Linked DNA regions of Tribolium castaneum. The protein of the gene in region 1 purifies or fractionates together with the protein of each later gene. This does not show direct contact. Links are inferred from orthologs where the notes say so. Each region holds a gene or a part of one and is shown in the gene's direction. Other genes may lie near its edges.

Region 1 (4,602 bases):
GAATATTTCCTCACACTCTACTTTTAGAACACGCTTATATGACCACCAATACTCGCTCTATATTGCTGGTAGATTATTTTTCAAAATTTAGAACCACCCATTTTCAGTCCTTTCACTCCTACCCTTATTTTTGTATTGATTATTTTACACTTTTATCTATTCTATTGTTCTGTTGCTTAAATCACTTATACAAAAAAAGGAACATTTGTTGATTATTAAAGTAAAGTATGATTAAAAAAAAAACACTCACTAAACTGATGTGTAGTAACAGTAGTCTTGTGAGCTTGTGACTGCACATTATTCATGTCAATTGACAAACATATTGATTTCTTGATGAGACAAACAAATTATAAATCCTCTACCACCAATGTTTTATTCATGAAATAAAAAATGCTTCAAACTCAGTACCTAATCATCAATTTTAACACATTCCTATGATGGATTTACAGTTTTCAGTGCAGTCTATGTACAAATTTTTGAATACACTGTAACCACCTAAACGATAATTTTCAAACTAATCGGGGTATTGGAAAATATCGAACTGAAACACACTTGCGTCAGAAAAATGCCAGCAAATAATTGCTCAACAAGATGTGCAAACTGAAGGAAAATTCAAGAGCCAATCGAAAGAAGAGTAATAAAGTAAAGTAATTATTTAGTTTGAGATATTTACCAAACGCACTATTAATAATGGTTTACAGGTAGATAATAAATAACAGTTAATCGTGCTGGCTGATTATATTTGTTGATTATATCAGCTTAAAGTAATTAAAAGCTTCTTGCTAATACTCGTACCTAAAGTGTAAAAAATTAAGTAAACGAATGAATAACAATATCCGACAAATTATTGTGTTAATAAAAAATTATTGTTGTTTATTTTTCTCACATTTACAATTTTTTTGATTACCATTGATTACCTTTAAAAAATGAGAAAATAATATAATATATCGCACAAAAGTCAGACTAACACACGTTAATATTATTCTAATCTTAAATTTTTGAAATTTGACACTTTACTGTGGCATTTTTGTATTGTTTTCTATCTTTAATTAACATTTGCAGTAGCATACAGGAAAATACTATGTTTTTTTCATAGCCTTATCTTATGACTTTATGATAGACAAAGAATGGTTAAAATTTTTTACTTATTAATCAGAATGTAATAAAAAATAACTCTGGCCTATATTTTCGTGATCTGGTAGCCAAGATAAAAATTTTGGAATGTTTGATATTAAAAAAAATTTAAATTTTCAAAATACTTGCAATTTAATCACGATATTTTATTTAATCATTTTTATTGCACTAGCTATACTTAATACTCAAATAACCCAAACCACCCACCTTAGAAATAAAAATAACTTGTAATTCTAGGCCGCAATTTTTTTTTGATATTCAATCAATTTGTTCAGATACATATCTTTACAATATCATAATTTACTATAATCTATTAAGACAATTTAGTTTGCTGAAATATTCTTAGGCCATAGTGGATAATAAAAAACCGAAAATATTTTTTTTTAGTTAGATACAATTTATTATCTGGTTTATTTCTAAAATAATTACGTTTTTTTTTGCTTTTTTTCACATTCCTGTATTGCTATATTTTAGTAGGAACAAATTACTAAATAGCTGAAGCAACAAAAAATATAAAAATAGAGCAGTTATTGACTTATTTAGTTTGATTTTAAGTAACTTATGAGTAGAAACTGGAGCATTTTCGAATTTTGCGCCTAGAGCTGGTGCAGTGAATCGGCGTAAGGTTGGCTGACTGAATACGGTCACGTCACTGTTTTTCTCATTCAACAGCAAGCACAAGTCAACGTCATCTTAAAAAATTAATAGGGTGTAATGTTTTGTAAAATATTATTTTAGTTTTTAGGAACATAACAGCAACAGACCTTTCACAGTCTCTAAAATGGTGAGATAATCTTTCACACACCACACAAATCCAACCTTTCACAATTCCAATTTAAAATTTCCAAGTTGCCATTTTACGCATTTTCTCACGTTATAACATATGATTTCAGGTGCTCATAGCAGCGGCGGTCTGCACTAAGGCCGGTAAAAGTAAGTACCCCACATAAACCACCGAACCATGTGTTGCAACCTTTCTCTGCCTTTCCAGCCATAGTCTCTCGGCAGTTTGTTGAGATGACCAAAGCCCGCATTGAGGGTCTCCTGGCGGCTTTCCCCAAACTTATCCCAACAGGAACACAACACACCTTTGTAGAGACCGACTCGGTCCGATATGTATATCAGCCACTTGAGCGCCTTTACATGCTCCTGATTACCACAAGAGCTAGCAACATTTTGGAAGATTTAGAAACTCTGAGGTTGTTTGCGAAAGTGGTAAGCTGTCCAGACCCATGGAAGCCACAAAAACATCCTCACATTGTCATTATTTTAGATTCCCGAATATTGCCGCTCATTGGAAGAAAATGAAATTGCGGAAAACGCATTTTCCCTCATTTTTGCGTTTGATGAGATTGTTGCTCTTGGGTACAGGGAAAGCGTCAATTTGAGCCAAATTCGCACATTTGTCGAGATGGATTCACACGAAGAGCGGGTCTATCAGGCCGTCAGACAGGTAATAAAATTGCTAAACTGGTAAAATCATTTATTATCAAAGTTTGTACAACAACGGACACGGCTATTATTTCAAATTTGCTATTTCATGATTAGATTGCCTCACAGAAAATAAATTAACAACAGTTCTAGAAATTGTAATGCCAAAAAGTCGTAATTCCAGTTGGCAATACTGAATTCTAATTTTAAACAATGTAACTGAAGTATATTTCTGGTTAAGGTTTTGGATTCTGTCATCAGTGACAAAAAAAGGGAATTTTTTGGTTAAAAATTATTAAAGCCAAGAAGTTGTAATTTCAGATGGCAATACTGACTTTTAATTTTTAACCATGTAACTCAGTATATTTCCCGGTAAGATTTTGGATTCTGTCTTAAATGAAAGCGGTTTGAAAGAAATAAACAAAATGACAAGTTTTCAAAGATTTTGTGTTAGTCACAGCTCTTAAAGTAATTTTGGTAATAAAGCAAATAACTCAGTATTGCCAATAAATTTTTTAAGATGTTAAGTAAAATTCCTCCCAATTTTAAATTTTTATTTGAGGTATAAAATCAGATATAATAAATTTTTCGACACATTATTTCATAGTGACCCAGTAGAAGGTGAAATAAAAATTAATTTGCTGTTAAAAGTTAATTTAACAGTTAATTTGGTAAGTGATCACTGATCAGCTGTTCTAACGTTTAAGTGAACGAATTCATCGCTAATACCTGTCTCACTATTTTTTTTTGTTACCCTGATGGATTTTATGTTGAAAATTAATAATGGTATAATGAACATAAAAAGAATTGCTGTAAAATCTAGAGTTCTTATAATACCATAATAATATTCCGTTTCACATCAACATAAAGAGACTATGCTATTGTTTGTATAACTTGTTGATATACCTACCAGGTGAATAAAGAGAATGAAATCTAACGTGTTTTTTTTTGCTTAAACTATTTACTTTTTGGAAAAACTACTAGCAGTGTGATTAAAGAAAATGTTTATTTTTTTGTATGTGTAGTTTTTGAATTTTTTACGACCCACTTATTTATCCACTGGTTTAAAAACTATGAAAACTTAAAGACAAGCGTTATTAAATTTTTAAATTGCTTTTATTTACAATAAATTCAAGATTTAAAGTTTCACGAAAGGAAAAACATCTTATTCAGACAGAATGTTTAGCTTGGGCATAGAAAGCCATTTCCGATATTTCTGCACTTTTAAACCTCCTCACGGAGGTCTTAGGGCGAATAAAATAGAAACAGAAGACATGAGACATCTAACATTTGATAGAAAGCATAATATTTCTTTTAGAGCCCTTTCCTATAATTGAATTAAGGCATGCTGTTTGTATAGATTCGAAACCAATGTAATTTCTGATTTACGAACTGACTCCTCTTTAGACACAAGAACGCGAAGCTAAAAACAAAATGCGTGAGAAAGCTAAAGAATTGCAACGCCAGCGAATGGAAGCCAACAAAAAGGGCGTCAAACCATCATTTGGTAGCAGTGGAGGCTTTGGTAGCTCATCTGGTTATACTCCAGCCCCTTCAGTCGGCGATGTTGCCAATATTTCAAACGATATCAAACCACCAGCTTATTCCTCCGCTCCTCAGTATGTTAAAAACATCCAAAAAATTTTTTTTTAAATTGATTTAATAGGAAACCTTCGACTCGAGGAATGAAACTGGGTGGCAAAGGCCACGACGTTGAGTCTTTCGTAGACCAGCTTAAATCCGAAGGCGAAAATGTCATTGCACCAGTTAATAACAGTATTTCACAAGGGGGAATGAAAACACCAGCGATCAAGTCCGATATTAATGAGTAAGAAAATAAACAGAATAGAGTAGAAAGTGACTTGAATTATTTCCAGTGTTCACTTGAGACTGGAGGAAAAACTAATCGTTCGAATGGGCCGTGACGGCGGTGTGCAACAATTCGAGTTGTTGGGGTTGGTGACACTGCACATTGGGGACGAAAAGTGGGGGCGAATTCGTGTCCAGTTGGAAAATAAAGACACGCGTGGCATCCAG
Region 2 (4,217 bases), on another chromosome or scaffold:
TTATGACGTCATAATTTCAGCCTTAAATCGAAATAACTTGAGTTAGAGAGCAGATACAGAGGAACGGTTTTCACTGTTGTAATAAGTGCTTTCAGTACTATTATTTATAATAAAGTTGTTTTTTAACTTGCCAATGTCTTTTTTGCTGAAAACAATGAATATTCAGTTTGATATACAAAGAACATAATTATTTTTCTTTTAACGGCACATCTTCTAAATTTAAATTCTTGATATTTTTAATTCATATTCTACATTCTACGATCAATTTTTGAAGGGCACTGTTAAGAGAAGGCTCGTTTAGTACCAAGAAATCATGCAGTTTTTGACGGCATTGGAAATAGTTTCTATTTTCATATATTTTCCATAATATGTAGTTCGAGCATTGAATCATTGCTCCATTTCTGTTATTAACTTTCAAAGTATGTGTTGTTAATTTTCATGAAATATTCATTTCATTCAAAATGGAAAAAATATTAGTGAGATATGTCACGTTGCATCCAATTTTTGTCGTCTGCAAGTTGATGTTATATGTTTGTTCAATTTATTTAGATAAACGGTAAATAACTTCACATTTCTTTGAATGTTAAACTTTGACACCTTCCTTTAACTGTCCGTAAAAGTAAGAGTAATCCGTAAGAGTATTGATTTTTTTTTCTGTGTAATCTAAAAGCCTATCTCATTGCAATGTTCAGTTGTATTAGGGCAATCTGATTTATTTTTTACGTGATTGGAGCACAGTTTGAAGGTTCGTGGTGTCTGTACATATAAACACTGATACCCAGAATGAAACCTGATCGGTGTGTGAAACTATTAGATGATCACCGAATTTACTGTTTTAATTTACCAATTTTTCAAACGCGAGGAAATCTGACACTTTTCCATGTGTTCACAATTTTAATTTATATTTTGATAGAATGTACAATCGTTTTTGTTGCCCCGGTCGCTACATTAGTATATCCACTGGCTTTGAATAATTTTACACTTGCTATTGTATTACAATGCGAAATATGAAACCTCTAGATGACATGCTTATCAAATTATGGAACTGGGAGAAAGCCTGGGCCTGTCAACAAGTCTTCGAAGGCCACTCTCACTACGTAATGCAAATCGCAATCAACCCCAAAGACAACAACACGTTCGTAAGCGCGTCCCTCGACCGCACATTGAAAGTGTGGCAACTGGGTGCTTCCACCCCCAATTTCACGCTCGAAGGCCACGAGAAGGGGGTCAATTGCGTCGATTATTACCACGGGGGCGACAAACCCTACATCATTTCAGGCGCCGACGACCGTCTTGTCAAAATCTGGGACTACCAGAACAAAACATGCGTCCAAACCCTCGAAGGCCACACTCAAAACATCAGCTCGGTGTGTTTCCACCCTGAACTCCCAATCGTCCTGACAGGGAGCGAAGACGGCACTGTCAAAGTCTGGCACGCTAACACACACCGTCTTGAAAGTAGCCTCAACTACGGCTTCGAACGCGTTTGGACGATTTGCTGCCTCAAAGGCTCAAACAACGTAGTTTTCGGGTATGATGAGGGCAGTATTTTGGTCAAAATCGGGCGAGAGGAGCCGGCAGTTAGCATGGACGCCACTGGGGGCAAAATAATCTGGGCCAGACATTCGGAGCTGCAGCAAGCCAATCTGAAGGCTTTGCCCGAGGGGGCCGAGGTCAGAGACGGGGAGCGGCTCCCAGTGGCTGTGAAAGACATGGGGGCCTGCGAGATCTACCCCCAGACGATCCAACACAACCCCAACGGCCGGTTTGTTGTTGTGTGCGGCGATGGGGAGTATATTATTTACACGGCGATGGCGTTGCGGAACAAGGCCTTTGGGGCGGCTCAGGAGTTCGTTTGGGCGCAAGATTCGAGCGAATATGCGATTAGGGAAGCGGGGTCTACGGTCCGTATTTATAAAAACTTCAAAGAGAAGAAGAATTTTAAACCGGATTTTGGGGCCGAAGGGATTTTCGGGGGGTGGTTACTTGGGGTTAAGTCAGTGGCGGGGTTGACGTTCTACGATTGGGATAGTTTGGATTTAATCCGAAGGATTGAAATCCAGCCAAGGGCGATCTACTGGTCCGATAACGGCAAATTGGTGTGTCTTGCGACCGAAGATAGTTATTATATCTTATCGTACGATTCGGACCAAGTCCAGAAGGCTAAGGACGAGGGACAGGTGGCTGAGGACGGGGTTGAGTCAGCGTTTGAGGTCCTGGGGGAAGTGAACGAGACAGTTCGGACGGGGTTGTGGGTCGGCGATTGTTTCATTTACACGAATGCCGTCAACCGAATTAATTATTTCGTTGGGGGTGAGCTTGTAACCATAGCTCACTTGGACCGGCCTTTGTACGTCCTCGGCTATGTCCCGCGTGACGATCGGCTCTACCTCGCTGATAAGGAGTTAGGGGTTGTCAGTTATCAGTTATTATTGTCGGTACTCGAGTATCAAACTGCAGTAATGCGTCGTGACTTTACCACAGCCGATAGAGTATTACCCTCGATTCCGAAGGAACACCGGACTCGAGTGGCCCACTTTTTGGAAAAACAAGGCTTCAAAAAACAGGCCCTTGCTGTGAGCACGGACCCCGAACACAAATTCGAACTAGCCTTAGCCTTGGAGGACTTAAACACCGCTCGAACTCTGGCCCAAGAAGCGAACAATCCGCAAAAGTGGAGCCAATTGGGTGAATTAGCCGCTTCGACTAACAACCTCCAACTAGCCAAGGAGTGCATGCAAAGGGCGCAGGACTATGGGGGCCTCCTTCTCCTGGCTACGAGTTCCGGTGACGAAAAACTTGTGAAAACACTGGGCGAAAATACACACTCTGAAGGCAAACACAACTTGGCTTTCTTGTCGTTTTTCCTTTTGGGAGATTTGGACAAGTGTCTGGAGATTTTGATTTCGACGGGGCGTTTGCCCGAAGCCGCGTTTTTCGCTAGGTCGTACTTGCCCGATAAGATATCCGAAGTTGTGTCCTTGTGGAAGGCGAAGTTGTCGACGACGAATGAAAAGGCGGGGCAGAGTTTAGCCGATCCGAAGGATTACGAAAATTTGTTCCCGGGTTTGAATGATGCGATTGCTGCTCAACATTTTTATAGTATGGGGAGGAAAGGGTTACCGTTGGCCAAAGATGCGAAGAAAATTACGCCGAATCATGAGAGAAATGTTGTGCAAGAGATGAAGGCGCAAGGGGGCGAAGGGTTCAGTGTGCCAGTGGCGCAGACTAGGTTGGTTGGGGGGTTGTTGGTAGTTTTTGAGTTAATTTTGGTTTTTAGCCAACCGGTTCAGAGTGAAATGAAAGCGCCGCCCAGATTGCAGCAAGAGGATGAAGATGATCTTGATCTGGATTTGGAGGGAGTTAACATTGATGATAATATAGACACCACGGTAAGAGACATTCTTTACGTCTGAGGTTTAATATTGACAGTTTTTTTTTAGGATATCAATATTGATGATGATTTGTTAAGTGATTAATAAGGATAATTATCCAATACTAATATTTAATCCGAGATTTAATCGTTAATGTTTTTTATTGTCAAGTATTTTATGTAGGTATTCCATAAGAATTAAAGTTACATACAGTTTCTCAATGGGTCTTTATTTTTTATTTATTAATTAATGATGACTATTACTTAGGAGACGAAACATAAGACAAAATTGCTTCTGAACCCAAAAAATAGTACGCAGAGTATTATACCGTCTCGACGTCAAATTGTTTTAAATGAATTTAAATCCAACCAATTCTTTAATTACTTGAAAAAAAATTGAGAAATGTTGAGCTTTGCGCTATTATCAGCCTAAGAAAAACTGACGACTAAAATCTTCATAAGAAACATGAGAAAATAGTTATTTATAATACGAGTGAGAAAACACAAGCTTTAAGTTTGAGAGCTGCATACCTAGACACCCGAGAAGTTTAAGCGTTTTCGGAAGTGTTATTAATTTTTTTGCTGGTACATTTTAATTTAAAACACGTTGCTTAAGCGTGTTTTAAAATAGTGAAAACATTGATTTAAAACACGTTGTTTATAATCTAGGATTCAAATATTAAAAAGAAGGCTTAAACTGTTACCAACCAAAAAAAAAAACATTTATTTGAGTGCTTTAATAACCGCGTGTTTTTTAAGTTTTTAATGTTGGTCACTGAGTTTGAGCGACTTTTTACCGAAGCAGCTTAACTTCGAAAACTTTAAAAATAAATAATTTGCGTCG

What was found.
Region 2: the proteins of deltaCOP (region 1) and beta'COP fractionate together in Homo sapiens (co-fractionation; 5 studies listed by BioGRID and IntAct, with this or other methods). This does not show direct contact. The link is inferred for Tribolium castaneum from reciprocal best matches to the Homo sapiens genes ARCN1 and COPB2.

Annotation. Positions count from the first base shown.
Region 1 is NC_087394.1:32,202,625-32,207,226, forward strand, and holds the start of deltaCOP (coatomer subunit delta), read left to right. Parts: upstream 1-1,762; 5' UTR 1,763-1,915; coding exon 1,916-1,918; intron 1,919-2,027; coding exon 2,028-2,067; intron 2,068-2,125; coding exon 2,126-2,349; intron 2,350-2,407; coding exon 2,408-2,587; intron 2,588-3,972; coding exon 3,973-4,184; intron 4,185-4,231; coding exon 4,232-4,393; intron 4,394-4,442; coding exon 4,443-4,602. Other genes in the region: hfw (protein halfway), read right to left, coding at 251-298. UniProt on the Homo sapiens protein: Component of the coatomer, a cytosolic protein complex that binds to dilysine motifs and reversibly associates with Golgi non-clathrin-coated vesicles, which further mediate biosynthetic protein transport from the ER, via the Golgi up to the trans Golgi network.
Region 2 is NC_087398.1:12,749,841-12,754,057, forward strand, and holds the end of beta'COP (coatomer subunit beta'), read left to right. Parts: intron 1-1,020; coding exon 1,021-3,232; intron 3,233-3,280; coding exon 3,281-3,392; intron 3,393-3,443; coding exon 3,444-3,479; 3' UTR 3,480-3,595; downstream 3,596-4,217. UniProt on the Homo sapiens protein: The coatomer is a cytosolic protein complex that binds to dilysine motifs and reversibly associates with Golgi non-clathrin-coated vesicles, which further mediate biosynthetic protein transport from the ER, via the Golgi up to the trans Golgi network.